Arabidopsis thaliana: one gene and its partner. The protein of the gene in region 2 interacts with the protein of the main gene of each other region in a pairwise test. Each region holds a gene or a part of one and is shown on either strand. Other genes may lie near its edges. The genes, in order: MGT9 and AT3G13440.

What was found.
Region 1: the proteins of AT3G13440 (region 2) and MGT9 interact in a two-hybrid assay, tested with the Arabidopsis thaliana proteins (one large-scale study listed by BioGRID).

The regions. Positions count from the first base shown.
Region 1 is NC_003076.8:25,799,751-25,816,188, reverse strand, and holds MGT9 (magnesium transporter 9), read left to right. Parts: upstream 1-6,477; 5' UTR 6,478-6,664; intron 6,665-6,744; 5' UTR 6,745-6,793; coding exon 6,794-7,039; intron 7,040-7,136; coding exon 7,137-7,166; intron 7,167-7,529; coding exon 7,530-7,686; intron 7,687-7,812; coding exon 7,813-7,934; intron 7,935-8,004; coding exon 8,005-8,079; intron 8,080-8,169; coding exon 8,170-8,397; intron 8,398-8,491; coding exon 8,492-8,536; intron 8,537-8,619; coding exon 8,620-8,664; intron 8,665-8,763; coding exon 8,764-8,793; intron 8,794-8,867; coding exon 8,868-8,987; coding exon of another isoform or gene 8,988-9,026; exon of another isoform or gene 9,027-9,068; intron 9,069-9,077; coding exon 9,078-9,164; 3' UTR 9,165-9,491; downstream 9,492-16,438. Other genes in the region: XYL4 (beta-D-xylosidase 4), read left to right, coding at 2,880-3,329, 3,712-3,999, 4,196-4,365, 4,448-5,304, 5,373-5,962; AT5G64550 (loricrin-like protein), read left to right, coding at 12,491-14,395; AT5G64540 (mucin-like protein), read left to right, coding at 15,538-15,957, 16,308-16,382. UniProt on the Arabidopsis thaliana protein: Low-affinity magnesium transporter that mediates the influx of magnesium. Plays a crucial role in male gametophyte development and male fertility.
Region 2 is NC_003074.8:4,371,016-4,387,072, forward strand, and holds AT3G13440 (S-adenosyl-L-methionine-dependent methyltransferases superfamily protein), read left to right. Parts: upstream 1-6,081; 5' UTR 6,082-7,059; exon of another isoform or gene 7,060-7,156; intron 7,157-7,318; 5' UTR 7,319-7,322; coding exon 7,323-7,399; intron 7,400-7,572; coding exon 7,573-8,332; 3' UTR 8,333-8,560; downstream 8,561-16,057. Other genes in the region: AT3G13432 (uncharacterized protein), read left to right, coding at 467-548, 714-847; AT3G13433 (uncharacterized protein), read left to right, coding at 3,241-3,340, 3,409-3,461; AT3G13435 (uncharacterized protein), read left to right, coding at 4,426-4,525, 4,815-4,930; AT3G13437 (uncharacterized protein), read left to right, coding at 5,333-5,474, 5,562-5,677; TBP1 (TATA binding protein 1), read left to right, coding at 9,302-9,378, 9,471-9,558, 9,787-9,858, 9,957-10,007, 10,141-10,185, 10,274-10,366, 10,472-10,573, 10,680-10,753 and 1 more; DIN4 (Transketolase family protein), read right to left, coding at 11,325-11,360, 11,444-11,530, 11,623-11,700, 11,778-11,873, 11,943-12,029, 12,106-12,174, 12,249-12,338, 12,421-12,518 and 4 more; ECT2 (evolutionarily conserved C-terminal region 2), read right to left, coding at 14,259-14,423, 14,509-14,649, 14,746-14,958, 15,047-15,640, 15,767-16,057.

The DNA of each region.
Region 1 (16,438 bases), on a different chromosome or scaffold from region 2:
AAAAGTTAAGATTCTAGTGGCGAATCATGCAAATTTAAAAAAATTGCGCACAATACAATGGTAAACTGATAAGTAAGAAACGACAATTAGATGATTGATATGCATCATAAAAATAGTGGAACAACAAAATAATTGACTAGCTTTCTTAAAACACTAAACGCGAAAAATGGTATATACATTTGATTTTTAATTTAAACAAATGAAAATAGTAAAATAATTGAGCATATATTATGATTCCGTAAAATTATGCAGCCGAGCGCATATGTGAACTAAAAACACATGCATTTCAAAAACGTTTATGTGGATAAAGTTTTCATGAAACTCTTTAACAAAAAAAAAAAAAAAAGGTTTTCATGACACATTTGGAATTATATGATAGAGACATTGTTGTAACGTAGTTAAGACGTAAATAACCTAATTGATATCTTTGTCCCCACCATTTGCTAACACGTAACCATGCAACTTTAATTTGTTTTTGATTGGAGCCAATATATATGTAATATTATCCTAAATATGTATGTCTCCAAATGCTGCAAACCTAACTACTCATTATTAAATAAAGCCAAATTGATTTTGATTTTAATAATGTTTGTGATTGGAATTTATTATCAGACCAGGCTTTATTGTAGTAGCAAATTAGCAACCGACATTAAACTAGTACTAATATAAAATAGACATAGTTATTACTTAATGCTAATTAATCCAAAAGGAGAAGTATACTCATAGTAATAGTTAGAGCTCACCTCATGTTTTCCTGTAAAACAATAATTAATATTTGCAGACATTACTTAGCAATCATTATCTTTGTGACTTTATTTAGTTTAACGAATAAAGTGTAAATCCCTTTTTTACTTGTGAATTAAATGTGTCCTATGCAAAGTCCAAACAAATAAATCTACTCATTTCTTCTACTTGTTATATATGTATAGGTGGGTTTTTACTTTTTAGTTTATACAAATATTTCTGAAAATCCCTTATTACAAATAATGATAATAATTTGTTAGCACATGTGACAATACTTGCAAGTTGCAACGTTTTAAATCCTTTTTGGCTTTTTCGGTTAAAGCTTGCAACATTTCTTTGGCGACACTAAATCTACATGTAATTTTTTTATAAATATACATATATCGTCCGTAAAAATGTCTGAGGAAATTTTTTGTTTCTTGTTTTGTTTTATTCAAATTTGGAAATTGTGTTTTATTGGTCCAAGCAAACTAAAATAAAATCAGACACATGCATTGGATGTTGATGTGGAAATTCGATCGCTTATCTGTTATATATTGTTGTAATACATATTTTCAGAAAATATTCAAATAGTAAAATCCAAGTGGTGCATACTTATTTTTAAAAAAATTCATTTGTAAAAATACAAATATTAGCCTTCATATGTTATGAGTCAAATCAACTGTTTAGCTAATTGGATTTAGTTGAAAAAACCTACGCCAAAAAGTAAACAAAAGCTATAAACTACGAAGTAACTAAATGTTTTAGGACTATAGAATCTTCCATTACTAGATGGATAATTTTAATCATGCTTCCCATTAAGCTTATGTTTTCATCAAATTAAGTATATAAAACGGCGTTAATTGAACTAATTTATATGTAGATCAAGTATAATGTGAATGAGTCACGCGCATGAAAAAACTTAAAGTGACAGGCTGTCATGCAAATGAAAACAACTGTTGAAACTTGAAAGTCGAAAACCATTAAGATTCACGGGCTCGAAACAAAGAATGCAACTTGCTCTTGGACCTCGACAAAAACTTACCATTTGATAACTAATACGACACCGTCACGGGTCACTACCAAACACTTTCGCTTATTGGGGATCTATGACTTTTCTTTTTACACACACAACGTAAAATGGTGATTAGTTACTGGAAAACTAGACTTAATTGTCACATTGTGAACAGTATATAATAACAATTTTTAGGGCATTCACTTTTGTTAAAAGATGTGTCTATGTGGGATCATCAACTGGACCACATTAAGCTAAATGATTCCACATAAGTTTCAGTATTTCAAAGTAATCTTAAAACACTTTGTCTTTCTTGTTTACACGCAATAGTTAGCCACAGCTCTTAATGATCATTTTCAACCAAAAAACGACTTAGCAAACTCTCTCTTTCATATATGCACACGACACAGTCCATTGGACTCAATCGTGTTGAGTATCCAAACCACATATATCGAATTGACCATACCTTAACGCTTAACCAAACATAGTTATTTCACCAATTATCTATAAAGATATTGCTACACTTAAAGAAGATGCCTACTTCTTGATAAAAATCTACCATGCTTTTGGACGTGAAGAGATACACAGACCAAAAAACTCAAAGATCTCGTTATTTTGAAAAAGAAAAGCATATGTAAAAAAGTTTGATATGGGGTCGTCTGAAACATTGTACTCTATAGCCAAACGAAATCTATACTTACAATTTTATTTTATACCGAAAAAGGTAAGTTTATACGTTGAGACAAAAAGAAATAAGTAAATTTTATACGTAGAATATTCGATGTACACTTTATGTATAAAGTTTAAACCCACTATGCTTTATTCCTTTTTGTTGCAAAACTATATAAAGTAAAATCAGATTTATGATTTAACAAACACATGACAGAGGTCATAAATCCTAATACTAGTATCCACAAACACCGTATGGTCCGTATCATTATTTCTTTCCTCGAAGACCGTATCATCTTTTTCACATAATCTTAATTATAATAGGTCAAAATAAATAAATAAATGTCACAATAATTTATATTAACCACAGATTCTTTAGTGAGAGCGTAGTAGTAGCTTACCACTCTTTATTACTATAAAACCAGTCTCACTAAACCAAAGCCAATATCCCAAGAAATCGAAACACAAAGCAATGGGCTCTTCTTCTCCATTAACAAGGAGAAACAGAGCACCACCATCCTCTGTTTCCTCTGTTTATCTAATCTTTCTCTGTTTCTTCCTCTACTTTTTAAATTTCTCAAACGCTCAATCATCGCCGGTTTTCGCCTGCGACGTAGCTGCAAACCCTTCTCTCGCCGCCTATGGTTTCTGCAACACCGTTTTGAAGATCGAATACCGAGTCGCTGATCTGGTCGCGAGGCTCACGTTGCAAGAAAAGATCGGGTTTTTAGTGAGTAAAGCTAACGGCGTGACTCGTCTTGGGATTCCAACGTATGAATGGTGGTCTGAAGCACTTCACGGCGTTTCTTACATCGGACCCGGCACGCATTTTTCTAGCCAAGTTCCCGGAGCTACGAGTTTCCCGCAGGTTATACTCACCGCCGCTTCTTTCAACGTATCTCTGTTTCAAGCCATTGGCAAGGTAATTAATTTTTTATCCACTTTTGATTTTTGTTTTCAAAATTTTATTTTCGTCCTTTGCTTTTATTCTCTTTTTGGATAATGGGAATATCTTACTTATTATGAAACTGGGCCTCTCCTTTTTTTTTGATCTTTCGTTTGGTACAAGTAAACACTTTACAACACGTTATACTACGTCGTTTTCGTACCTGTAACCAATAATGAATTTCTCCCCACACCTGTTTTCAGTGCCATGATTAATATGATTATGATTCATGGTTAAGTTTCAGCTCATTTCTTCTAAGAAATATAATAAACCGAATATGGTTTTGTCAATACAATTTCAAACCGGATTGGATACACATGGCTTTTTTGAATGACATTGGTATCACTTATTTGTTAAGGTCGTCTCAACGGAAGCGAGGGCAATGTACAACGTGGGATTAGCCGGACTAACGTATTGGTCACCGAACGTGAACATATTCCGAGATCCAAGATGGGGAAGAGGGCAAGAGACTCCAGGAGAAGATCCATTGCTCGCTAGTAAGTATGCTTCAGGGTACGTTAAGGGTCTTCAAGAGACTGACGGTGGCGATTCTAACCGTCTCAAAGTCGCCGCCTGCTGCAAACACTATACCGCTTACGATGTCGATAATTGGAAAGGCGTAGAACGTTACAGTTTCAACGCCGTGGTAAAAATCTAAAAGCTAAAAAGACATTTTCCAGTGTTTTAACTGTTTTTGTCAATTGTGTATGTGATGTTGTGGTTTATTTGGTTAATCCGGTTCAATGGTACTAAGTTCGGGTTGGGTACAACATTTGGTTAGACCAAATACATTTTTGAGTGTTTTAAGTAACTTTTTTTGTGCGTTTGTTTTGATGGAGTAGGTGACTCAACAAGATATGGATGATACGTATCAACCACCGTTCAAGAGTTGTGTGGTTGATGGGAATGTGGCGAGTGTTATGTGTTCTTACAATCAAGTTAACGGCAAACCGACATGCGCTGATCCAGATCTGCTCTCTGGTGTTATCCGCGGTGAATGGAAATTAAATGGGTAATGATCTGATCTGATCCGATCAGCTAAGTTTAAATCCTTTTCGTGTGTTTTGGTTTTGATTTTGGTTCTATTTTTATAGGTACATTGTTTCAGATTGTGATTCAGTAGATGTCTTGTATAAGAACCAACACTATACAAAGACTCCAGCTGAAGCTGCAGCCATATCTATATTGGCAGGTTTGGATTTAAACTGTGGTTCATTCTTGGGTCAACATACAGAGGAAGCAGTTAAGTCGGGTTTGGTAAACGAGGCAGCTATCGATAAAGCGATTTCGAACAACTTTTTGACCCTTATGCGTTTAGGATTCTTTGATGGAAACCCAAAGAACCAAATCTATGGCGGGTTAGGTCCTACCGACGTTTGCACGTCTGCGAATCAAGAGCTAGCAGCAGATGCAGCAAGACAAGGCATTGTTCTACTCAAGAATACTGGATGCTTACCGCTTTCTCCTAAATCGATCAAAACACTAGCCGTGATTGGACCAAACGCGAATGTCACCAAAACAATGATTGGAAACTACGAAGGCACGCCGTGTAAATACACAACACCACTACAAGGACTAGCCGGGACGGTATCTACAACATATCTACCAGGCTGCTCCAATGTAGCTTGTGCTGTAGCGGATGTAGCCGGCGCCACGAAACTAGCAGCCACTGCAGATGTGTCTGTGCTTGTGATCGGTGCCGATCAATCAATCGAGGCAGAGAGCCGAGACAGAGTCGACCTGCATCTTCCTGGACAGCAACAAGAGCTGGTGATCCAAGTGGCTAAAGCAGCAAAAGGACCGGTCTTGCTCGTCATTATGTCCGGTGGAGGTTTCGATATTACATTCGCTAAGAATGACCCAAAGATCGCCGGAATTTTGTGGGTTGGTTATCCCGGAGAAGCCGGTGGTATCGCCATTGCTGATATCATCTTTGGCCGTTATAATCCAAGTAAGAGACTCTGTTTCAAACCGGTTTTTGTAATTGCAAATTTGAATAAACCGGTTTTGGTTATGTAGGTGGGAAATTACCGATGACGTGGTATCCACAGTCGTATGTAGAGAAAGTTCCGATGACAATAATGAACATGAGACCCGATAAAGCAAGCGGGTATCCGGGTCGGACTTACCGATTCTACACCGGAGAAACAGTATACGCATTCGGAGATGGACTCAGCTACACCAAATTCAGTCACACTTTAGTCAAAGCTCCAAGTCTCGTTTCTCTCGGTCTCGAAGAGAATCACGTTTGCCGATCATCGGAATGTCAATCGCTAGACGCGATCGGACCGCACTGCGAAAACGCTGTCTCCGGCGGTGGATCGGCGTTTGAAGTTCATATCAAGGTACGAAACGGAGGAGATAGAGAAGGGATTCACACGGTGTTTCTATTCACGACGCCGCCGGCGATTCACGGATCGCCGAGGAAGCATTTGGTAGGATTCGAGAAGATTCGATTGGGGAAGAGGGAAGAAGCGGTGGTTAGGTTTAAGGTAGAGATATGTAAAGATCTGAGTGTGGTTGATGAGATTGGGAAGAGGAAGATTGGTTTGGGAAAGCATCTTCTTCATGTCGGAGATTTAAAACATTCCTTAAGCATTAGAATCTGATTCTATATTTTTATTTGAGGAAGAAAAAAAGAATATTAATATGCTTAAGCTTTTGCAAGTTGGAAAAGAAAAGTAATAAAAAAAAGAAATTGTGAATCTCTTTAAAATTATAGCATTAGTAGCCGAAAATGTGGGGCATATATAAACATAATTCGAATATCTAAAATATATCATGTGTAATTCATGTGTAACATAAATCTAGCTAATATCAGTTAGAGTTAGATTTATGTTTGGTATTTCAATTTAAGTAAATTTAGTCTTTTTTTTTTTAATTAGTTGCTCAAACTAATAATTCTGATAACAAGCAGATAAACTCGTAGTATATCCCGATCAAAAATAAATTAATTTTTATTTTCTTAATCTAAACTAAACCGGGTTTTGTGTCGAATTTAGGTGATTCGACTCAAATATGAACAACATTTACCAGAAATCAGGGTTATTATTACCGGTTTATTGCGGTTTACATTTTAAATATAAATAAGATTCACCTCTAACAGAATATATCACGTTTTCCTTTTTTTCTGAAACTGTAAAACTCTCTCACAAAGCAAAAAAACCAAACCTAAACAAAAATCTAGAAAGAAAGATTTCCGAAAATCTTTTTAATGAAAAAAGAGCAGACAGGACGAGAATTCGCTTTTCTGAATCCTTTAGAGTATTGTTTTCTCCGTCGAATTCGCATGAACACTTGAGCTCAACAAGGTCAGATTCTCTTGTTCGCTTTTTTTTTTTTGATGAAGAATTCGACTGTTGTGTTGATGCTGGTGCTCTGAATTTTACAGACGGCGTGGAAGTGGACGGTGAGGTAGTTTTTTTTAGTTTTTGAAAGACATGGCGCAAAACGGGTACTTGGTTCCAGCGGATCCTTCGGCGGTTGTGACGGTGAAGAAGAAAACGCCACAAGCGTCGTGGGCTCTTATTGACGCGACGGGACAGAGTGAGCCACTCGATGTTGATAAGTATGAGATCATGCACCGTGTCCAGATCCACGCTCGCGATCTCCGGATTCTAGACCCCAATTTATCTTACCCTTCCACTATTCTTGGCCGAGAGAGAGCCATTGTTCTCAATTTGGAGGTTTGGTTCTGTTTTTTGGTTCTTCAGGCATTCATTGTTTCTGGGTTTTGTTTTTGTTTCAGAGTGTAATTAGTTTTGTTCCTTCTTCTTTATGCAGCATATCAAGGCTATTATCACTTCCGAAGAGGTTAGTAGTTTACTCTTTGATTCCTTTGCTTACCACACTTAGATTTGTAGGGTTTTTGCAGTAAAAAGTTTCGATTTTTATTTTGTTAGGTAGATTTTTTTCTGAATATGCAGATGTTCATGTTAAAGTTTGATTCTTTCTTGTAGCCAGTTTTTCAAAATGCTGACAATGTGTTAAGGAACTTGAGCAATCACTGAACTAGGCAAAAATTTGGCTAATTTTTCAGTTCTGTTCTTACTATGCTATAGTGTGTTGAAAGTTCATAATATCAGCCAGGCTTTGATCTATTTAGCACTATGGAATGCTTAGAGGAGTATAGCTTTTGAGTTCTCTTCTTGTAGTAATGACTTGGGCTTATTACAGGTTTTGCTTCGGGATCCGTCTGATGAAAATGTTATTCCAGTTGTGGAGGAGCTTCGAAGACGCTTACCTGTTGGAAATGCATCACACAATGGTGGTCAAGGAGACGGGAAAGAGATCGCAGGTGCTCAAAACGACGGTGATACTGGTGACGAAGATGGTATTGTCCCTAGAGACTCTTGGCTCTTTTCCTAAACCATCTAAACTCTGTGAAATTCATCTCCTTTTTGATGACCCTTAATTTGCCTTTTCATATATGTTGAAATGTCTGCTTGTTGCAATATAGAATCCCCATTTGAATTTCGGGCGCTGGAAGTAGCTTTGGAAGCAATCTGTAGCTTCTTAGCTGCAAGGACAGCAGAATTAGAAACAGCTGCTTATCCTGCTTTGGATGAGCTTACCTCAAAGGTAGGTACCTCAATGATTTATTATCACCAGTGATCCAGTTTTCAACTACATTTTTACATTCGTCTTGTAGATTAGTAGCCGTAATTTGGATAGAGTTCGGAAATTGAAGAGTGCCATGACTCGGTTGACAGCTCGGGTTCAAAAGGTGAGCAGGTATCTTTTTCTTATGACTTATGAGTATTTGTAAAGTTTGTAATATGAATAGAGAACTAAGTAGCTTCATCGCCTTTTGCAGGTAAGAGATGAACTCGAACAGTTGCTGGATGATGACGATGATATGGCAGATCTTTACCTTTCAAGGAAACTTTCAAGTGCTTCCTCACCGATTAGTAGTATTGGTGAACCAAATTGGTATACTACTTCCCCAACAATAGGCTCTAAGATTTCAAGAGCAAGTAGAGCGAGTTTAGCCACAGTTCATGGGGATGAGAATGATGTTGAAGAACTTGAAATGTTACTCGAGGTTTGTTGATCCTGCACAAAATCTTTTATCTGATTCTGATCTATCTTCCATTCAAATGCCAAGTCCAAATACACACGTCTTGATATCTTTACAGGCATACTTCATGCAGATCGACAGCACTTTGAACAGATTAACAACAGTTATCCTCTTGCTCCCTTTTCTTTCTGTTCTTTTTTGCAGACTTTTTTTACTTTAAAAACTTAATTTTTGACTCTGATGCAGCTACGTGAGTATATTGATGACACAGAGGACTACATTAACATCCAGGTATCCAAAAACGAAACCTCAAAATTTTTAACATGTTCTTGAAATCTGAATATAAGTCATTATATTAAAAGCTAAAACTCGTCGGTTTTCTATTCACAGCTTGACAATCATCGGAATCAGCTTATTCAGGTACGTGAATGTCGAAAGCCAAAGTTTTTTTAATATGTCATCTTCTTTTGTTGATCATCTTCAAAATCCTGCAGTTGGAGCTAGTGTTAAGTTCTGGAACAGTTTGCTTATCGATGTACTCTCTTGTCGCTGGAATTTTCGGGATGAACATTCCATACACATGGAACGACGGTCATGGATACATGTTCAAATACGTAAGAAACCAGAATTCTATTCGCATGAGGATGAAATAAAGATCTCTCTCAAGATTAACTTATGTTTATCGGGGTTTTTGGTTGTTGCAGGTGGTGGGCTTGACGGGGACACTTTGTGTAGTCGTGTTTGTGATCATAATGTCGTACGCTAGGTACAAAGGACTTGTGGGATCTTGATGGCTGAATTTGGGTTAGATGGAGAGATTGTGAAGGGGCATTGGGCAGATCTTGTTTTCGATTATTATACTTGTGGTCGTTCTGAGTTTTGAACGAGCTTCACAATTATTTTAGTTGTCGCATCATAAAATTTAATCAAACATATTGAAAAAAGCAGAAGCATTGTGACTTGTAATTGCAAAGATAAGCTCTACCATCGATTCCTTACAATTAGAGCATAGAAATCAAATTTAGGATCCTTGATTCCTTATTAGCTAGACAACTTTTCAATAATTATCGGTTGAAGCCCGTTTAGACCCGCGGGCTTAGTGCCTATTTTAATATCGCTAGTTGATGTTATAACGTTTCTATTTGAAGTCTCTTCATGATTTAGGTTTCCATTGTCACACACAAAAATGGTGTGTTTTGGATTCTCTTGTAAGTCTTATCAAAAGAGAAGTTTTTGAGATTACATTGGCAGAGAAGATTGGGCTAGAGTTGGGCCTGTTGATGTTTATTTTGAACAAAGTCAATTTAAAATCCATCCAATAAGGAGCTTTAGAAGAAAATATTTTATAAAATAAAAATGTATGCATGCGAACGAAGAAACAAACTCTGTCCTAAACCCTATGCTGATGAAGTCAAAACCTAAAAACATGATGTAAAATATTGCAACAAGGCTTTCGTGTTTCCACATACACATTTGTTACCAGATATGTTATTAAATGATTAAGAAGGTATAAAATATCGTCGACGTCAGCCGTTTCGCGTGGAGAGTTGAGGCCGAAGCTGACGGAATCGCCGACTAGTAAAGATTCCTTTTATTTTATGCCTTTTTTGTACTTTTTCTTTGATATATAATTCATTTTTATTTAAAATATTATGATAGATTCTTCCACTCTGCAAGGAACCTCATTGGCTGACGTAATAGGATTTGCCTCTTGGAACATCATAAAAATCACAATTTCATTCATTTAAAAGAAAATAGTCGTTCGTCTTTATTGTGGTCCTTTGGCGACAATTTTCATCACACCACGACAAAACAATTGGTATCAAATTATATAAATAAATTGTTCTTACTTCTTCTTCTCCCAGCGCACATCTAACATTTTGTTCCTCTCATTAATCACTTCAATTATTTTCCAACGAAGAAATATTTCATTTACGTACATCAATGATATTATTTGCATTGTTTCATATTTTTGTTTTGTTTTGTGATTGTTTCCTACTATACATATAACATATACAAATTACAATTGATGTTTGAATATGTATGTTGCTTGAGTAGAGGAAATTTGAACGTTTTCGCTTATAGTCTTATAGATCTAGATGTAAGTACAAACATAAAATAAAGAAACAGAATCACAAGTCTTTTATTTCGTTGAAGCTTGATACCACAAGTGCTTCGCATTTGGATAGTGGAATCTGATTAAATTTTTTTAAACAATACTAGGTTTAATGATGCCAGCTAATTCTATATATTTTTTACTCCATATTCCTGGCATGAGAAAAAAATAATCGTTTTTCTGTCTCGTTTATTAACAAAAGCGTCACATAAAATGACAAAAACAAACATATACATACATCAATTAAGTTCGAAAGACTCATTCAGCTGATATCATCATTACAAACATTCACAATATCCCAAAAAACAATATAAATAAATAAAAACCAAGTGTTCATAAAATTACGATGACGTCATAAGAAATTAGGGAAGGAATCAGTTCTGACCGGTTAAGACGGTAATCGGTTTAATACTTTTATTAATTCAGAGAAGTGACTTGTCGCAACATCACTACCACTCGAAAGAAAACAGAAAACAAGGGGCATAAAAGACTTTGTCTCCACTAAAGACGGCGTCGTTTTCATCGAAAAGCAAATTTTAATTGATTACCCAAAATAGAGCGTTGTCTCATCCAATCAGAACCGTTACTATCGACGGAGACAGAGGGTATTTTGGGTAATTCATTGGGATTCCCTCACTCGCGGTTATAAACGAGAAAGAGAGAACCTGAAAAAGCCTAACACACAACACAAACACGCTCATAATAAAAACCATAAAAATATCTCCTCTTCTCTTTTTTCTCTCTTTTTTTGTAGCCCCGCTAATATTTCGACACCTGTTTCAGTCTCTTTTTTTGTTTCATTCTTCTTCTTCTTCGTATTCCTCGATGTTTTAGACGAAGCAGGGACTCTCAGTTTACGAGTTACGGAATCTCTCTCTGTCTCAGATCCATCAGGTTTTTTCTTATTCCTTCTTTAGTACTGTTTTTTTGTATCTTGTTATTACTGATTGATCGTGTTATATTAATGAATGCATGGTTTGTTTTTGTTTCGTTTTCTGAAATTTGTTCAGCTTATTTCTCTAATTGTCTCTTGCTCTTTTTAGGGTTTATCTTTTTTTTTTTTTTAAAACCTTCATGATGTTAACTTTTTAGAGTACGCATGATGATTTCTCTAATGATTGTTTGATTAACTCTGATTATAACTTTGATTAATTTTTTTGTTGTGAATTTAGATCTTCTTCCTCAAAGTTAGAAACTTGTGAGATATAGAGATTCAGAATCTTTGTTGATTCCATTTTTGTTTAATAGTAACAATTAGTATTTCCTTAGATCTTGTTTATTGAGTTTGGATCTTTATTTTACAACCTAAAATCGTGAGACATTGCTTCTTGTTATCACTTATCACTTATCAAACACAAAGTTGACTTTCCATGTTATATAAGAAGTTTTCAAAGTCTTAACATTATTCTGATTTTGCTTGAATTATTTTGAGTAACAAAAATTATTTAGTTTTTTTTTTTTTAATACTGTGTACTAATCTGTAAACCAATCTTATCTTATCCTTTCTTTCATTCTGTTGTTTTGGGAAATTTCTAATTTTTCGAGCATAGAAAGATGTGTCCTTCACGTTTCACTTTTACCTAAGGCTAAAATGTTGCCACCATTAGTCATTTTGGTTGGTACTTGGTCCTTTTCAGACACAGTTGTAGCCAATTATTGGTCTCTGTACTTTGAATCTCTTAACATCACAAGCCGCAACTTGTAATTACACTATTGACTCAAATGCTTTTCTTGATTATTAGTCTCGTGTCATTGTAATGTTATTGATCTTCTTGCTTAAGCTTTCTACTAACAAGATTTTGTAACTGCTGCAGAATAGTTTCTTGCGCAAACCCATTCTTGAAGATGGACAGGGCAGATACATGGGGATTTGTCAGCGGTGGGAGATGTTTATATCTCAAGTTGCTTTTATGTTTATAGCTCTACAAGGTGGTGTTCTAAGTATTTATTGTTTTGGTCATTCTATCTCCTCCGCTGCATTGTTCTGTCTCTTCTCTTCATATGGATTTGAACGAGAGTGTTGTTCACTTTTCTCGTGGCAATGGTATTGCAAAGCTTGACAATTTCGGCGATACTGCTCTTAGCTTGAAATGTCTTGGAAGCAGTGCAGGGAGATTGATTGGGAGCTCTCACCATAACCATAAGCTTTGTTCTGATGTTTCTAATTGTCCTGATGGTGGTTGCCGGTTGGTTCTCGGTTTGGGTCCAACACCGCCTTCGTATTATTACAATGTCAGGGTCAATGATAATAACAACAAAGGCTCTGCTTCTTCTGGGAGTGTTCAGGAACTCTCATCAGGAGGTAACTCAATCCTGCAACTTGGTCCTCCTGCTGTGACCATGGATACTTTCAGCGGACTTGAGGGTTCTCTGTTGACATATGCGGATACTAATGTGTCCCAAGCTGCTGTTGATGAGGGTTCTACCTCAGCAAGGCGATCAGGTGGCTATATGCCATCGCTTCTTTTCGCTCCAAGGACGGAGAATGTTAGAAAACCTTCAAGGATGCAAGAGTGTAGTACTAATTGTGGAACTGATGCTTATAATTCACAGCTGAGCCATGAGTCAGAGTTCTCTGTAAGCGCTTTCTCTGACAGGTCGGCCTCTGCCACGTCTTCTCAGCAAAGGATGAGCAACCCGAAGAAGTGCAAGTTTATGGGATGTGTTAAAGGAGCTAGAGGAGCTTCGGGGCTCTGCATTGGCCATGGAGGTGGCCAGAGATGCCAAAAGCTAGGTTGCAACAAAGGTGCTGAGAGCAAAACTACTTTCTGCAAAGCCCATGGCGGAGGAAAGAGATGCCAACACTTGGGATGCACAAAGAGTGCTGAAGGCAAAACCGATCTCTGCATATCACATGGTGGTGGAAGACGGTGTGGATTCCCTGAGGGATGTGCTAAGGCTGCACGTGGCAAATCTGGGCTCTGCATCAAGCACGGTGGTGGTAAAAGGTGTAGGATTGAAAGCTGTACACGAAGTGCTGAGGGACAAGCTGGACTCTGTATTTCCCACGGTGGTGGACGGCGTTGTCAGTCTTCAGGCTGTACAAAAGGTGCTCAAGGAAGTACAAACTACTGCAAAGCTCATGGTGGTGGGAAACGCTGCATATTTGCGGGATGTACAAAAGGAGCGGAAGGTAGTACTCCGCTTTGTAAAGCACATGGTGGAGGAAAACGCTGTATGTTTGATGGTGGTGGTATTTGTCCTAAGAGTGTGCATGGTGGGACGAGTTTCTGTGTAGCTCACGGTGGTGGGAAGAGATGTGTTGTGGCCGGGTGCACTAAGAGCGCTCGTGGGAGGACTGATTGTTGCGTGAAGCACGGTGGTGGGAAACGGTGTAAGTCTGATGGTTGTGAGAAGAGTGCGCAAGGTAGCACTGATTTCTGTAAGGCACATGGTGGTGGGAAACGTTGCTCATGGGGAGGAGACTGGAAATGCGAGAAATTCGCTAGAGGAAAGAGCGGTTTATGCGCTGCGCATAACAGTATGTCACAAGATAAAGCTGGAAGCAAGGTTGGTTTGATTGGACCGGGACTTTTCCGTGGCCTTGTCTCTACTTCTTTACAAACCACAACAACTGCAACTACTACTACTACTACCACTGATCATTCTCAATCTGGAGTCAGTGCGGTCTCTGATTGCATGGACTCCATTGATCGCCCGCTGCCACCGTTGCATCATCAACCCGAGAAAAGACAGAAGCTGATGATACCAATGCAGGTTCTTGTGCCTCCATCAATGAAATCCTTAAGCTTCTCAAACACCGAGAGACCCGATATCGAAACAAACAACAATAGTAGTGGCAGCAATGGGAGGAACATATTTGACTTTATGATTCCTGAGGAAAGAGTTCATGGTGGCGGGCTTATGTCTCTGCTTAATGGTAACATGAAACAAACACTCCGTTGATGGAATCTGAAAGCTTCCTCTCTATGTGGTAACAACAAGGCTAGAGTCTGTGTAAAGCTTCATGTAATATGTATAGTTTTTTGGTTTTCTTTTTGTTTCTCTTTCACTCTTGGGTCCTTTGTACATTTCATGGGTCTCTGTTTTTGTATGGTCTCTGGTCTTGACTTGACCATCTAGTCGATGGCTTGAACCCAAGTCTTTGTTTATTTGATCATTGTTATGAATGTTGCAATGTACAAGTAAAATGTGTTCTTATGTTTTGTACCAAAAAAAAACAGAGCTTACTGGGTCGAATCAGCATTTCCGGTTAAATAACTTTTGGTTTAATTCGCCTTGACCGGTTTAATGGAAGGTCAAAGAAACAGCGTCAAAGTCAACATACAGAAACAACCAAACCAAGTCATCAAATGGATAACGGAATCTTTCCGCCGTTATATTTTCCGTTAGCCCTATATATACACCGAGGCGGTTAACAAACATTTCGTCTCTTTGAAACTAATTTTTTCCCTCTTCTCTCTCTCTTTGGCCGTGGAGATTTTTCTGAGCAAGCTTCGTGATGCTATCGAACCAGAGGAAGACGAATTAGCTTCTCGATCACGATTCTTTTAGGTATGTGATTATGATTTAAGTTCCGATTTCGAGCTTTAGGTTTAGCTCTATCGCGATTGAATCTGTGTTTTTTTCCCGTTCCCGATTCCTCTACAACCCTAGGTTTTGATCGGAAATTTCGGTTCTTCTTCTTCGTTTTCTACTTCAATCGTTCTCGCTTTTGATTTCTTCAAGTTCTGATGATGATTATCGGTAAATTTCAACCTTGGATCTTTGGTAGATTTTGCTGTTGTCTCGTGAATATTCATCGCCAGTTTTGGCGGGAAAATGTTTCTGCGGTGGTTTGTTTTTGATTGAATCTGAAACTTACTATTGTCTTGTGCTCTCGATTACATTCTTCAGATCTTATCGGAAAGCTTTAGCGGCAGAGAGAAAGAGTGAATAAGTCGAGACTTCTCTGGTGATTTGTTATTTTCTTTGTGGTTTTTGGTGATTGCAAATCCTCTGGTGATGTTGATTAAAAAAAGTCTCATTTTGAAGTCTGGTGATACAAGGATCCACAAAGGAATCTCAGATTCTCCTACTGTAGCAATATGATGGACAAAGACGAGCCGTTTGTCTACAACGAGGTGGATTACAAGACCCCAAAGCAGAGTCCCCAGACGTGGCCGATGGATAAGATCCGGCAGAGCCGTTTTCAACATAAAATGTCATCACTTTTGAGTCCGGTGACTCCTAAAAGGAATTACAACATTAGCAATGCGAAGACACTCCTGCTGCAGTGTTTACGGGACGCTAAATCAGATCCACTCCCTCCTAGGCGCTTTCCGGTTTCATGCTCAGATGAAGGAATCTTGATGGATGGTGTTCTGGTCACATCAGCCACTAAAAAGAAGGTGTATGAGTCTCCTTCAAGCTATCCAGGACGATCAGCACGTTCTTCAATCTTCCGGAGTCAGCTCAAGAAGACTACAGAGTGTAGCAGCCCTATAAGCGATTCAGGACCTAACCAGGTTCGTCTTTCGCTCTTTATTGTTTACATATTTGTGAGATTAGAATCGGTAAGAACATCACTGACTTACTTAAGAAACATTGCATGTGATATTCCACAATGGTCACAACATAGAGTTGCTAGACGTTAGTGACTTGATGTCTTTCGATGACTGTTTTAGATCAAACGAAGCTGAATCAGATAATGTTGGAAATGTCTATTTTTTGTTGAACATGATTCCAAGTATAGATGATGCTGAACTTCCAATGCATTGATCTATTCAGGAGAAGCAAATATTGTGTATCATTGTCGCAACTACGCTCACATTTATGTATTGAAATGTCTGTTGAGAGTTCTTTGGTGATTTTGCAGGAAACCACTCGCTCTCAGCAATCTTCTTCAGCTGGCAAGGAAAATATGCTGGCAAATAGTCCTTGTACACCAAAGGTTTTTACTTTACAACGCATTGTGTATCAGGATTTCTGAAGAATCATAAGTTTATA
Region 2 (16,057 bases):
TCAGCCAATCACCCAATGCATATTCGTACATCGTTTTTGTTTCTTTTTGTTCTTTAAGATTTGACATTAAATATTGTATGATTAATTATTTATGCACCCCAAATGTAAAAGGACAGTCCAAATCCAGGGAAAAATCAGGATTTTTGTTTGACTTGTACATATTTTGTTTGAAATGCTGACAAATAGAGTATCTTAGCTTTATCGTCAATAAATGAAAACATAGTAAACTTACGGAAGTATAAAATAGTTTAGTATCCTTTGACCCAATATAGCGTGTATAACATAGCTATTTCTTGACTTATATGATTATATCAGTTATTATATTATATATGTAGAATATGTTTATTTCGAAAGTCTTCTGACGCGCTACGTGAAAACTTGATCAATAAGTTATGATTAAACAAAAGTTATATATTTGATTGATATATATCTATACTCATGTACAATATAAGGTATCATCCAGAAAATGAAGGTCAAGTTCTGTTTGATTGCTTCCCTTTTGATTCTCTCTTTCGCGATTTCGTCATACGTCGTCTCATACAAATCCAGTAAGTATTATTGATGTTTGTATATCATCATCTTTCCTAAATATGCTAAATGAGAAGCTATGTAATTATAAAAGAAAGTTAGATAACATTTAGCTACTTTTTGTTTTTTACATGCATGTATGCATGATCAGTTCAATTTTTTGATACCTAATGAAAATTGTATAGAAGAAGAAACAATAGCAGAAACGATTCACATTCGAAAGGTAATGAAGATCAGAGTACCTCGTAGTAAGTCACCACCCGATCGCCAATGGGGTGAGGGTGACTCGCCACAAGCCGCAAGTCCAAATTCAGTATAAGGCGATGGCTATACGATTTGTGGCTACATACATCGTATAATCTAAGAAATGTTCCTGATTTGTGAACCTTATTAGTTTATGCAAAGGACAAGATACTTAAAAAGAAACCCAATGGCCGGCTCAAATGTGTTTTGATTATTTTCTCTCTCCATACAATTTTTTTTTGTCAACGAACCAAGCTGTCACCTAAATTTTAAATTACTTACGTGAGATTGACCTTGTCTTTTGTATTCACTGGGTTATTATTGGACGTGAAAACACGTTCCTAGATAACGATGTTCATGCTCTTTGACATCTTATATTATTATTATATTTTTATACGATATTCTGTGCATATGCTCTACGACGATCATCACTAGCTAGGTGTGAAAGAACATATTTTTTCTTTAACTAGAAAAATGCTGTTGGTAAGTCTGGTCGTCCACAATAAATGTCTTTTGATTTTGATCGAGATCCAATCACAAATTTGAAAATTCCACATACGCCGTGTTATTGAAATTACAATCCCGCTTTAGAAAAAAAAAAAAAAAAAAAGCTTCTCTTGCTTTTTATTTGTGTGTACTTATTTTTTCTTGGAAATTTATAGTCCCCAAAGTAATAATCATCATTATGAAACTTGACTAATGTTGTAGCTTTCGCAGCGACTTGATCGATATAAATACCCATTAAGTGATGGATCCACAATGTATTATATTGCACTAAATTTTGTAAGTTTACAGATAAAGAAAACCCATAGAAATGCAAAGAGTCTTGTGGTTGATAACTTTCCTTCTTGTTTTTTCTTCTGCATATTCGTCCCAAATGCTCGTACCTCAACACAAATCCCGTGAGTTCGGTGAGTATTTTTATTTATTTTATTTACTAACTGATTTTTTTCTTTATCAGTTATCATCTAAATGTTTGTGTCAATCTCCATGTGTAATAACTGCAAGAGAAAAATGAAAAGAAAAAGAATCAAATTCCAGAGATAATATCAAGAAAGATTGGGTGTCTATGGTGTGAAGTAAAAAAAAAGAGTTTAAATCAAATATATATAGTCATTGTTATATTTCTAATTTCCTACATTAACTTTCTTATAGATGAAAAAATCGCAACACAACGTAGTATATCACCACCCGCAAGGCACTGTATTAAAACATTTCAGCCAGCAGACATAAGGGCATCATATTCATGTAAAAAGACTCCACCCAGAGGCACTGGCGGTTAGACATACATGTTTAGAAAATTGTAAAATTGTTTGTAGTTTTTTCTTTTTACATATGATCATTAGCAGTGATAATGTTTTAATTTAATTAGTTAACCGAACATGATAAAGTATAATGTAATTTGTAATGTTCTTTTGGAAGATATATATATATATATATAATGTTTTGGAGTTTGGAGTTTTGTACTTTGCGACGAGAGTATAACTTCTTTTTCACAAGTACAATATATATACCGCTTTTATAATTGGTCACTTTTAGACATAGATTTCTATTTATATGTCCGTATTTCATGGAAAAGGAGAATTCTATTAAAAACACTATATACATACGTAACATATCTACCGATCAGACGCTTAATTTACAGTCTTCAAATGTATATGAGCTATTCTTTTTTCTTTCCATGTGCTGCTACATATGGATTTCAAACAATATCATCCAGTATTCAAAAACTAATAACGTGTTGCATGGACCAATGTTGAAGATGAGCAATGTCAAGCATATGTGTTCAAGGGTAGGGTTCAGATGAAAAGACAATGTTGGTGTCGTGTCTCACTACATTTTTGACCATTTCAAAATACGCTATAGATTTTTCTTTGCATTCGACCTTTTTTTTTATAAACTACGTACGACTAGATGAGCTCAGTTTTTTGAACAAAAATACTAGAAGAGTACGTCAATAATCTATACGTACGTACAATCATAAGAATGAAGACCTAGTCTTCTCTAGTTATATCTCCATATTTTACGTTTATTTCAAAGAATTAGGACCTAGTCTTTTCTACAGTTCCTTTGATCTATGTCGAACAAAATTCTACTTTTGGATAATATGGATATGGATATTTATAAACAGATTCTACTTTAACCATTTTATGATCAGTAACCAAGACTCCCCTATACAAAAGTAAGTGAATTGATTCATATCTCTTATATATTATTCTACATCATATTTAAAATTTGGATTCATAACATATTTGTATAACAATTCAACAGAAAAGGTTTCCCTTGTTTTTTTTTTGTCTTCGTCGTAGACTATTATTGTTTTGAAAGTCAGTCAGATTATATGTTTTCCACACGCTGCCTCGTTCCAAACTTTTTATTTTATTTTATTTTAAATCTGGTATAAATACACATAAAACATACATAGAACTATTTTTAACTACAGCTATACAACACAACGACAGAAAGAAAATGAAGAGAAATTTGTGGCTGATTGCTTTGTTTTTGGCTCTCTCATTGGTGATTTCATCTTATGCAGCTTCAACTTGGCCATACCAAAACCGTAAACTTTGTAAGTATTTATCATCCGATTCGATCCATATTTTTCTTTTATATGACTAATGCCAATTTTTCTAACAGTGATAATAGAATCACGGCCAAGTAAGTCGAGACCCGCGCCCCAGTGTTGTTAGTAAGGCGAGGTTACGGAGAAAGAGCACCTGCCATTTATGAGTCATGGTGGTTAGATGGACCCATTTTATAATTATTTTATTTTTTAGTAACGAAAAGAAAAATCAGGGAATCAAAGAAAATACGTATTTAATAGGTTCTCTCATAAATTAGCTACAAAAAATAGTTCTGAAGTTGTAGAATTTTACGTTGTACTGAAAATAAAAGCCCATCATAATATTGTTTCCGACATTGAAGTAATTTCCGACGGTAACCCCGTTTTACTACTTGACAAAGGAGAAAACCATAACTCTTTTTGATTAGAATGAAAAGACACACATCATATATATGTTGGTAAAAACCGTTTATATTTAAGAAGACAGCTCATAAGTTAAAGCATTCAATTTTAAACGGGTTAGAAACAAAATTTTCTCAATTTGATAGACTTGGCGGTTTGGACGAGAAGACGATCAAAACTTCAGAGTTTGCTTCTCCGATGTTTAAATCTTAGCGTGAACTTCCAATGACGCAAAATTCCTTTGTTTGTCGCCCTTTTGCTTTCTATAAAAAAAACTCCTACGTTTTGATCTTCTGTCCGAACAAAAATTATTTGAGGAATCAAACCGTATTGATAAGACTGGCCTAATTTGGTTTAGTTAGTTGATTCAACGAACAACTATTATTTTTTAAAAATGGTTTTTAAAAAAAAATCTACTAGGTATGATGTTGATCGATAATTATGCTTTTTAATTATAGTATTAAACATGACACCCTGTCTCTAATTTGACCTCATTAAACTAAGCAATCTCAAGCAACTTCATCGATAAAACAAAAGTCCAAAAACTTATTAAATCTTCTTATATAATTAATGTTATTTCTTAGAAGCATCATTTGTTGTAAATATGTAATAAACAACTCCACCGCATCAAGTTTTTCTCTTTATATGACCACCCATTAAGTCTTTGCATAGTCCTAAAGCTTAAAAAGATGAATTGGAAGTTGGTTTTGCTAATTGGTTGGATTCTCCTCTCGTCTATTGCATCAAACCCAGCTTTGGCTAAAGTTACTTATCCAACTCGCACAACAAGTAAGTATCCATTACCTATCTCTTTTATTTTATAGTTGTTATTTGATAGATATTCAGATCAAATTCGTGGATCTATTATCTATACATATGCCACGTAAAACTCTTTGATGTATGGAAAAAGTTGATCTTGTAGAATTAATAATTGCTTTCGATCAATAAATGATAACTACAAACTAGCAACACTTTTGTTGTTTAATTTGTATAGAAATATACAATTGTTAATTTACATATACATAAATTCTTGAAAAAAATAGGAAATTTATTTTATGGTTAATCGAATTTTAAATAGGAAAATGGCTTGGAAATATACACATCAGCAAAGGAATGAAGATTGGCTTTACAGGCAGTTTTTCTAGACCTGCTCCTCACGGAGGCGGTCCACCGAAGATCATTTCTAAGTTATGACATGTAACGATCTTAATTAGCGATCCAATCTATATATAATCTATTAACTTGTGATTTCTGATTATTTGTAAAGTTGTTTCATTGTGTGTGATACTCTTCGAATAAATTAAATGAAACTTCGATATGTAAATTATTATTTAGTTCACTATACGATTTAAAATCGAGTATTGAGTGACAACAAGGTCTTTTTCATTTTCTCACCAAAATGATGATATGATTAACATTGGACTTTTCAACAAATGCAAAAATAAGGAAAAAAAGACAAGACTTAGAAAGTCAATATGTTTTCATTGCATGCATTGACGTATACATATCAGTATCACACCAACTGTAATGAGAACGACCCTGATATATATAATCTCTGCCTAACAGTCTAACACTAGCTAATTTATAGTTTATAAGATGTTATATACATATATACCCGGGAAGAAAGAGGAAGAAAGAAAAATGAGTCTCAAGTTCATTCTTATAGCTTTGCTTCTACTTTTATGCATCACATTTTCCAATTCGACCGTCGTTCCTTTTTCCAAAAACCGGAAAATTAGTAAGTCTTCATAACTGCATAAGTGCAAATATTGTTATTATATGGTGTTAAAATGAGGTTTGTAATATAGTTTTAACGTGTAACAAGCCAATGAAGAAGAAGAAGAAGAAGGTAGAGAGATTGACATTCACAAAGGAAAGAAGATCACCGTAAAAGTCAGCCGTTCGCCTCCTGCAAAAGGCTGGATTTGTTGCAATGATTAACTAAAAGGAGCTATGTGAACATTTTCATAAGATCCCATCCTTCAATTTCTATGAAGATAATATCGACCAAGATCAAACTTCAAAGCTTGAAATTAGAAACGTGTATTTGCTATATCTCAACCACTAATTTAAGGGGCTTTCGGCCCATTACACGCATGGGAAGATTCAATTATGTTGATTTTGTAAGTTTTGGGGCTAAAGTGTAAATTATTGAAACTTGTAGGCTTGATTTCATTATTCCAAGTTTCCACTTTTTCTCCTCCGCCGTAGCCGGTGCTTCTTCTTCGTGAAAATCTTTCGTCTGAGATTTTTTCTTTACTAGTTGAATAAAATTGAAGATTTCGAAGACTACCCAAAACCGCGTTTTACAAAAAGCCAGATTCTTTTTTTTTTTTTTTTTTTTTATAATTTCATTAAAACTACCCAATGGGCTTGGGCCGAAACTTACAAACAATTCGGTCCAGTTACAAAATTAGGGTTTTCTGACACATCGCCAGGAAAAAGAAAAAAGCTCGCCGCCTGTTGACCGTCGCTAGCAGAGCGACCAAAACCTAGATCCGGCGGACTCAAGTCCCACAGCTTTGTGGCCGCCTCCGAGAATCGTCCACCACCGACGAAAGATTCCGGTTTTCGTCTGTAGAGACTCAACTCCAACGCACCAACCCACCACAAGACTCCCGGAAAGCTAGCCGCTCCGACGTAGCGGTTCCACGGAACCGGATCCCGACCTAGCAACCCGAAACACTCAGCGATAACACTTCTCTCCCATCACCGGAAAATAGCAAAGACCCAGAGCCAAACACACGTCGATCCGGACCGGTGGAGACCAAAAACGGCAGACCTAAAGACTGGTGGCTCAGTCAGACTCTCTAGATCCAAAACCCGCTGCAGCCATCTAAGATCCAAACAGATCTACTGTTAACCACCGCATCAGACAACGAACCCCCCCTTACCCCTCTCCAACTTCCGCCGTGGACGCAGCGACTAGAATCACGGGTGAGCCTGAGAACCTCGCAGCAACCCTCAGCGTCCATAACCAAGAGACCCCCGCCGCAACCTTCTCGACCGACAAAACCAGAGCCAAATCCACATCAGAGAGAGAGCTCCACACCACACGTTGACGGAGACAAGCATCGGCTCACTCCTGGACTTCCTTGAAGAGGCTTCAAACCGACGATGAAGAGCAGATCGGAACAAAAAGAAAAAGGAAACTAAATCTACTTACCGGAAATTGTCTTCAAGAGAGAGAGAAGGGCACGACTTTCAAGGCTACGATTGAGCCTCCATCTCATAAAGCCAGATTCTTTATCTTCCATAATCGTATTAAAGCTACGAAAACCTCGATTTCGTGTTCAAAACTTGGATTTGCTCGCTATCGAAAGGTCTGACCTTTAATCCTTTTCATGGGTTTAATCGTTCAGATATGATTTCTCGTATCGGTATTATAGCTTAGAGGAAAAGTGTCGTAGTTTTGGCAGATGAAATTAAAATTGGCTCTGTATTCCCAAATAGTTGAAACCCATTTGATGAAGCTATCTTATCAGACTTTTACGCATAAGTTTTCTTGTGGTCTTGGATCGTGTCTAGTGGCAATTATCTTCTCTGAGTTCTTTTGCTTAGTTTGATTGTCTGTTGTTTTAGACGAATGGCTGACCAAGGATTAGAAGAGAGTAATCCAATGGACCTTAGCAAACATCCTTCAGGGATTGTTCCTACTCCTCAGTGAGTTCTTTTGTGCCTTTGTCTTTATTTTAGTCTCTTAAGAGTTAGTGTTTGTTTGATGTCTATGGTGAACTTTAGACTGCAAGCTTGTTTATATTTGAAATATGGAATACACCTTCTCAAAGTTAAAACCTTCTAACTTGTAATGGTGTGGTTTTTGTTTGTTTGTTTAGTAGTCAAGTCATTTACAAGATGCCACCAAGAATTGCTGCTATCCGTCTTGTAAGCTCGCATCGTGAGGTCTATGAACCATGTGATGATTCATTTGCGCTAGTTGATGCATTACTCGCTGATCGCACCAACCTTATAGAGCACAACCCTAAGATTTGTATGGAGATTGGATGCGGAAGCGGATATGTCATAACTTCACTTATACTTCTTCTTCAAAACGAAGTTCCTGGTGTTCATTATCTCGCCATTGACACTAACCCGATAGCTACAAGAGTGACAAAAGAAACTCTAGAAGCACATGGAGTTAATGCTGATGTTATCTGCGCAGATTTAGCTACTGGTCTAGAGAAGAGACTTGCTGGCTCAGTCGACGTGATTGTGGTGAATCCGCCTTATGTGCCAACACCTGAATATGAAGTTGGAATGGAAGGTATTGCCTCTGCTTGGGCAGGAGGGGAAAATGGCCGGACAGTCATCGATAAAATCTTGCCTGTGGTTGATCTTTTGCTATCAGAGAAAGGATGGTTCTACTTAGTGACATTAACTTCAAATTTCCCAGCAGAGATTTGTCTGATGATGAGAAAGAAAGGTTATGCTTCGAGAATCGTAGTTCAGAGATCAACAGAAGAGGAGAATCTCGTTATCCTAAAGTTCTGGAGAGACAAGGATGAGGAGAGCCAGGACAAAGAGACATCATCATCATCGTTTGTTTCGCAGTTTTCGAAATCCTTATCTTCGCTTATGGAGAAACAATGGCGCTGATACTACAAAGATGGCTAGAGATCTCATAAGCATGCTTTGTTTAACCAAGAATTCTCTAGTGTTTTAATTTTTATGAAAATCATGTTTTGTGTTGGTGGTGTAGTCGTAACAGTGATTTGATTTAGTGGGGTTATTGGTTAGTGGATTTTAACTGATGTGAAATTTTGATTTTCAATTCCACATTATGTGATTTGAAAAAATCAATGAAAAATTATAAATTTCTACTTGAAAAAAAATGTTCACTAAATCGCTAAATATGCAAAAATATAATAGCGTTATAACACTAAAGCTGACGTGGCCGAAAAGGAGTGGACTTTCACATAAAACCGAAAGACAGCCGTCATCGTAGCATTACCGCATAAATTTCCAAAATTACCCTCGATGTAACAAGGACGGTCAAGGGTAGCATGGGTATGTATATATAGGTATAAAGGGGCTTAAGGATCCCAAATCCGAAACGCAAGTCGATGACCTCCTCTCTCTCACAGATCTAAAAACCAGAAGCGAGAGAAACAAATTCACTCTCCCCTTATATAAGCACCGATTTATAAATCTTTTTCCCTCTTCGATTCTCAATTCTTTGTATAAAAGGCTTCTCCTTTTCTCAATTCTTCGGCTTCCTTTCGCCCAAACTCTTCCCTCGAATCTTTCCTTCTCGTCTTAAAGCTACGAAACCCTAGATTTCGGATTTCTTCGCTATCCAAAGGTCTGACCTTTAATCCTTTTCCTGAGTTTTTTCGATTAGATCTTATGAGTTTCATCACCTTAAGAGGATAAGTCTCGTTGTTTTGGAAGATGAAATCTAAAATTGGCTCTGTATTCTCAAATAATTGAAACCCTTTTGAATGATAAGTCTATCTGATAAGACTTTTAAGCATATTGTCTTGGATCGTGTCTAGTGTCTATTATATTTTCTGGCTATTGCTTATTTTGATTGTGTTGATTTTGGTTTTGTGTAACTATAGAAGAATGACTGATCAAGGATTGGAAGGGAGTAATCCAGTTGATCTTAGCAAGCATCCTTCAGGGATTGTTCCTACTCTTCAGTGAGTTCTTTTGTGCCTTCGTATTTGTTTTTTGTCTCTTGGGATTAAGTGTTTGTTTGACCCCTGTTGACATCTTTGATGTTTTGTTTCAGAAACATTGTCTCCACGGTGAACTTAGACTGCAAGCTAGATCTTAAAGCCATAGCTTTGCAGGCTCGGAATGCTGAATATAATCCCAAGGTATTTGCATTATATTGTGACTTTTTGTTTTAATAAACGGTAGAAAAGTTGTTTGGAAGAGTACTCTCTCCTTGAGTTGACCTTATTGTTACCTGAGATCTGATTGGTCTATATACTGTGTACTGATTAATTAGAATCTAAGATATTATCTGTTTTTGGCTTTTGCTAAACTAATTTGCCTTAGCTAAGCTCGTCTTATGTAATACCTCTTGTGTTTTATGTTTCCAGCGTTTTGCTGCGGTGATAATGAGGATCAGAGAACCGAAGACTACAGCATTAATATTCGCCTCAGGGAAAATGGTATAGTTATTTTGGTTGGCAATACTTTTTCATAATTCTGAAATTTAATTACATTGGTTTGAATTCTCTTCTGAATTTGGCGACTAATCTCCAATTAGGTCTGTACTGGAGCTAAGAGCGAGGACTTTTCGAAGATGGCTGCTAGAAAGGTAGATTTTTTTTATCTTTAACCTCTTTAATTTAACTTTCTTATAGATCTGTTCTTCTTTACTTTAGCAATAATTGCAGTATGCTATTTGCTCCTCATTTGTTTATGCTAATAGGAGATGTTTTATTGTTTAGTATGCTAGGATTGTGCAGAAATTGGGATTCCCTGCAAAATTCAAGGTACAATTTCTTTAAACCTTTTCCCTATCCAACATTTTTTTTCTTACTTTTGCTTATACTAAATATATTCAATTGTTACATCCTGCAGGATTTCAAGATTCAGAATATTGTAGGTTCTTGTGATGTCAAATTCCCTATAAGACTTGAAGGTCTTGCTTACTCTCACGCTGCTTTCTCAAGTGTGAGTGATCTTAACTTATACATTTAGTAGTCAAGGACCGACTTTTAGAGATAAAAACGTTGTGCTGATGGCCATTACCTCTCTCTCATATTGGCGTGTGGTTAGTATGAGCCCGAGCTCTTCCCAGGGCTGATTTATAGGATGAAAGTCCCAAAAATCGTCCTTCTAATCTTTGTCTCTGGGAAGATCGTAATAACAGGAGCCAAGGTAATATCTCACTTCTCTTTAGGTTTTGTGATAATACTTGTTATGTCTCTCTCTAGTCTCTAGCTCTTCTGTCACCTGAAAAAATCCTGAGATCACTCATTATCAGATGAGAGATGAGACCTACAAAGCCTTTGAGAATATATACCCCGTGCTCTCGGAATTCAGAAAGATACAGCAATAGTATGTAACACACCCGTCAACTTTCCTCATCTTTCTTAGTAATGTTTGATTTCTCGATTTATTCGTGCATGAACCTAATTGTTGTGTTTATCTTTTATAGGGTCACGGATTTGTTCCCTGCAAAACTAGTTGTGCGGTCTTAGCCCCTTGGAGTTGCTAAAGCTTGCTGAGAATTTTGCCCTTGAACAAAGGCTTTCACAGTAGCTAGACTCTCACCTTGTGTTTTGGTTCATAATATAACATTGTATATACACAATGGAGATTCTAAAGACAATTCTTCGGTTCTATTTTTTTTCTTTTTCTTTCCAAGATATGTCTTACATGTATGTTGCTGTAGTGTCCTCACATTTCCACTTATGTTACAAGTAGAACCTTAACTCAGTGTGTAGCCCTAAAGTCTTGTTTATCATAGAGATTGGCCAAGATTGTGAACAAAGATGGAGAGTTTCAAGATCATAGATTAAATAACAAAAGTGGTGATTACAGTATCCATTACATGTCTGAACCACCAGCATCAATAATTATTTCGAAGATAGGAGACAGAGAATCATGTGTACAATGCTAAGATGGGCTAGTAATTCACAGTGGATCTGATTGCATCCAATATCTGCATCAAATTGTGAGCCAGGGAAGAATTAGCAACAAAAACGAAAATATATGTATAAGATACAGACCAGAAACAAAACTTGCCTTGTTCTTGGTTGGCATGTAGAAAGGTTCGAACACTAGAGGGAAAGGAGTGTCCAGGCCACAAACTCTGCTTACAGGTGCTTCTAACTGCAAAAGTAACCAGACATGTAAGCAAATATGAAAACCAGACATTGTTACCAAAAATTATAATGCTGTAGACAAATATGACTTGTTTTTACCCTCAAGAAGCAACGCTCAACTATAGTTGCAGCGATCTCGGCCCCAAAGCCTCCTGTAACAGGAGCTTCATGGCTAATCTGCAACCGAAGTAAGCAAACACATTTATTCTCTGAGACTTAGGACAATGATACTCACTCAGAGAAGCTTAACTTACAAGAAGTCTGCCAGTCTTTCTCACTGAGGTCTCAACGATTTCCTTATCCCAAGGGATCAGAGTCTTGAGATCTATCAATTCACACGATATTCCTTCCTGCAAAAACATTTTGTTTCATCATCTGTATCGCCAAAGACTAATTAAGTGCAAAACATAAAAACTAACGTTTTCTGCGTCAAGACATGCTTGTTCCATGATAGTGAGCTGTGCTCCCCATCCAACAAGAGTTATGTCGGAACCTTCTCGCATAACCTGTGACAAAAAGTTTTCATTTATTAGTCTTAGAAGTGTACTAAAAGAAGAGACACTAGAAATGGAACCTATATACCTCTGCCTCAGATAAAGGTATCATATAGTCATCTTCAGGGACATCCTCTACCGCTTGACGATATAGCCACTGAAGAAGAAGAACAAAGGATCAAAGACTCTTTTACAGGTTCTTGAAGTTGAAAATAACTCAAGAAGTAGTACCTTTGGTTCGAAAAAGACAACGGGATTCGGATCACGGATGGATGACAATAATAATCCCTTAGCTTCCCGTGGACTTCGAGGAATAACAACCTACCCAAAACATGCAATTTTCATATACACCTAAGAATATGAAGCAAATAGAGAAAGAAGAAGCTTTAGTAAGAAGATGTACTTTGATACCAGGGACATGACAAAAGAAAGCTTCAGGGGACTGCGAGTGGTAATGTCCACCGTGACCAACTGCTCCGTACGGTGCCCTAATAGTGAGTCCTACAATTGTCACATAAACCCCAATGAGTAAAAACTTGGTGTCTCATAACCAAGAAGGCACAAGAAGATATGAGTTTACCTCCACAGTTAAACTGGTTTCCACTTCGGTATCTGAACTTTGCAGCCTCATTAACAATCTACGAAATCACAAAACTCCATAAAGAGAACTCATGCGTCATCATAACTTGGTTTAAAGGTAAAGGTAGCATTTTTACCTGATCAAAAGCCGGGAAAATATAATCCGCAAACTGAATTTCCGCAATAACTCGATTTCCCTGCAAGCGAATAAGTAACCAGTAAGATGATGTGATAGCAATGAGAGGTAAACAGAAGAAACAAAAGAAGAGAAGAAGTGACCATTGCAGCTAAACCAATGCCAAAGCCAACAATGCCTTGCTCGCAGAGAGGAGTGTTGAAAACTCGAGATTTCCCAAAACGTTCAGCTAATCCTGTTGTACATCGGAAGACACCACCAAATCCAACATCTTCCCCAAAAACATAAGACCTTCACTCAAGTGACTCCAAATACATTATAAAAACCAATTCAAATGTACCTTAGACTTTAGGATTGAAAAATGCGAGAAAAGCTCACCGAGGATCGGTCTCTAAAGCGATGTGAAGAGCTTGATTAATAGCAGAGTATAGATTCATCGATTTACCACTTTCAGATACATTTTCAACCGTCGATAGCATCCTATATCCATGACCAGAGACCGGAAAAGATGATCCCCGGCAGAATCTGCGTACAAGAGCTGCCGCCATTTACGCAAAATTTAGACGCTTTCCACCAACGAATCAATCTGAAAACTACAGAGGTTTAGCTTAAAGTTCCTCAAGTTTCTTCTGGAGAAGATCACACAAATTTGATACTTTTGGATGAAACCAAAACAGACATGAAAGTACTATCTTTTGTCACGGAGTTTCCGAGATAAAGCGTTGGAGAAGCTATCTAGCCACGTCAGATCAGACAACAAGTACTTATTTGATCAGCTTCATTTATTATTGGGATTTTAACCACATCAGCAATTTCGGCAAGATAGATCAAAACGACACATCATACATTGGAATGGTGAAATGGAGAGCTGACTAAAGTTAGGTTCTCTCGGCTTCTTTGACAATTATTGGTGACAGCAACAAAATTATGAGATCAAGGTCGTTTTGTTTTGTTACACGAAAAAAATCAACAATACTTATCTCCTTGCTTTGAAAATCTTAAAACATGGATTGATTCAGATAACTTTGGAGAATGACAGAAACAAGACGAGAGAGGCAAAAGACCATCTCAAATTCTAAACGACTCAAGAGAGTCAAGTCTGAAACCAAAGCAAGAAACCAAAAGAAAAGAAAACTCTGCCTAAAAATCCAACAGACATGAAAAAACAAAATCCCACCCTGCTTTTATCTCCTTTTCTCTAATTCTTCCCACGATTTAGTAGGTCCTATGCGCATTTTTACAGGGTAGGAACAACAGAAAATGAAAAAGAAACCCAACATAAACTTGTAACGAGACTGCGATTTTGAAGAAAAGGAAAAATGAAAACAAGAAAAGATTGAAAAAAAAATAACTGGGATTTAAACTTCTAAGGGCAAAGAAACGGATCCGTCTCAGGTACTAAAGCTCCTTCCATGCTTCAAGGCTCACGGCAATCTTCTTCTCAAGAGAAACGTTAAACGGGATTGTTCATATCTTCATCTCTAGTCAGTTTTATGCCCATGCCGTGAGCGACACCATCCTCTTAGTTAGCAACCATTTGCCACCACATCGCCTGTGACTGGTTTAGCAACAGACCCATTCTCAGCAACCTTAACATCACTGGACGTTTGAACAGCTGCAGGAGATTCCTTGCTCGCTGACTCTGCAGTTGCAGATTCCTTCTTTTCATCGGTTACCTTCTCCTCGCTTACCTGTTAAGCTTTAATACATTAGAAACACTCAAGTTATATATATACTGAATGAAAAAGATTTCTGAAATTGTTTTCTAGTTCTTACCTGTTTCTGGGTTTGCTTGGCTTTCTTCTCCAAGATAGTCTTCTGTCGAACCTCGTAGAATGAGAAATCATCCAAAATGCAAGTCTTGCTGCTATGCTCCTTGAAAATTTTCACAATCTTCAAACCTTGCTCCAACTTAACCTAATATGATCCAAACAAAGAAAGTTAGGCACAAGAAAACAAAAACGCTCGTGGAGTAATCAGTAAAACAAGCCAAAAGATGTCACAAATATTTACCTCTTGTGTGTCTCTGCTGTTGGTAACAGGTTTGTTCTCATTGTTCTCTAAAGTAATATGCTTCAGTAAACTGTTTGGCACATCCTTCACAATATGCCACTTGAGGGGGAAAGAGCCGGTCCACTTATCTTGCTGCCAGTACTCCACATTTGTGTTGAAATCAACTGGTCCTGTCATTTCAGCAAGACCAACAAATTGTCCACTTGCATTGACCTGAAAGACAAAAACTGGAGTATAAAGAACAATATCATAAAACAAAGTAAAAAGAGCACAGTTTTTAATTTCAGGATTATATACACACCGAGAAAAACAGAAAGATGGGACAGCCGCCAGCTTTCTGTTGAGCTTCCTGGTATGCTGCAGCAAGCTTCTTGTTTCCATTTGGTGTGCTAGCCCAAACATTATATTTAATGCTCTTGTGCACATCATCTTCACTGTATGACTTGATGATAAAGAACATGGCATTTGCATAATCCACTGGGAAATCTTCTTTATTGTACTGTTCTCTGTCAGGAACAACACATGTGTTATCCGCCTCCCCAACCTCAGTTACATTTGATTCTCCAGTCTGCTCCTTAACCTCTAAGCTATCATCTAGATTTCCCTTCTGGTTCTTTGTGCCCTTAGCTCTAGGTCCCCTGTTAAGTTCATTCAAACCATCTACATTGTTCTCATTTCCGTAATAGTAACTGTTACCCCTGCCCCAGCTTCTGTATTTGTTGTCTGTGGCCGCCCATCCTCTTCCATTTGTTCTTGAATCATACCCAGATGAACCATAACCCAAAGCAGATCTCCCTGTGCTACCATACTGACCATATAACTTGTTCTGATACATCCTGTTGTAGTACCCCTGAGCTGTACCATAGCCAGTCACTGATGAAGGCTGGTGCACGCTCTGCAAAGAAAAAAGTTGATTGAAGGTCAGTTAACAAATTTGGAAGACTTGAGCGGCTATATATATATGCCAGTAAAGCAGACAATGGTGTTCATTAGCAAAAAGAAGTTTGGAAAGACATCATACCGTGTAGTGAGAATTTGAGCGGTAGTTTTGATTCCTCGATGAAGGTACTGTGCTAGACTTAGAATAGGAGGATGCAACTCCACTACCAGAAACAGGTCTCTGCACATCAGAGTACTTAGAGCCATCGTGCCACGGCACAGGAGCATAATACCCTTCATAGGCATACCTGGGGTCCTGATAACCAGCAGCCAAACCTCCTCCTGGAGCACCCATACCATACAAATTACTTGAGGTGTTAAGGGTAGCCTGGTTAGTTGGTTTCACTGGAGCTGATCCATTACTTCCTTTTGT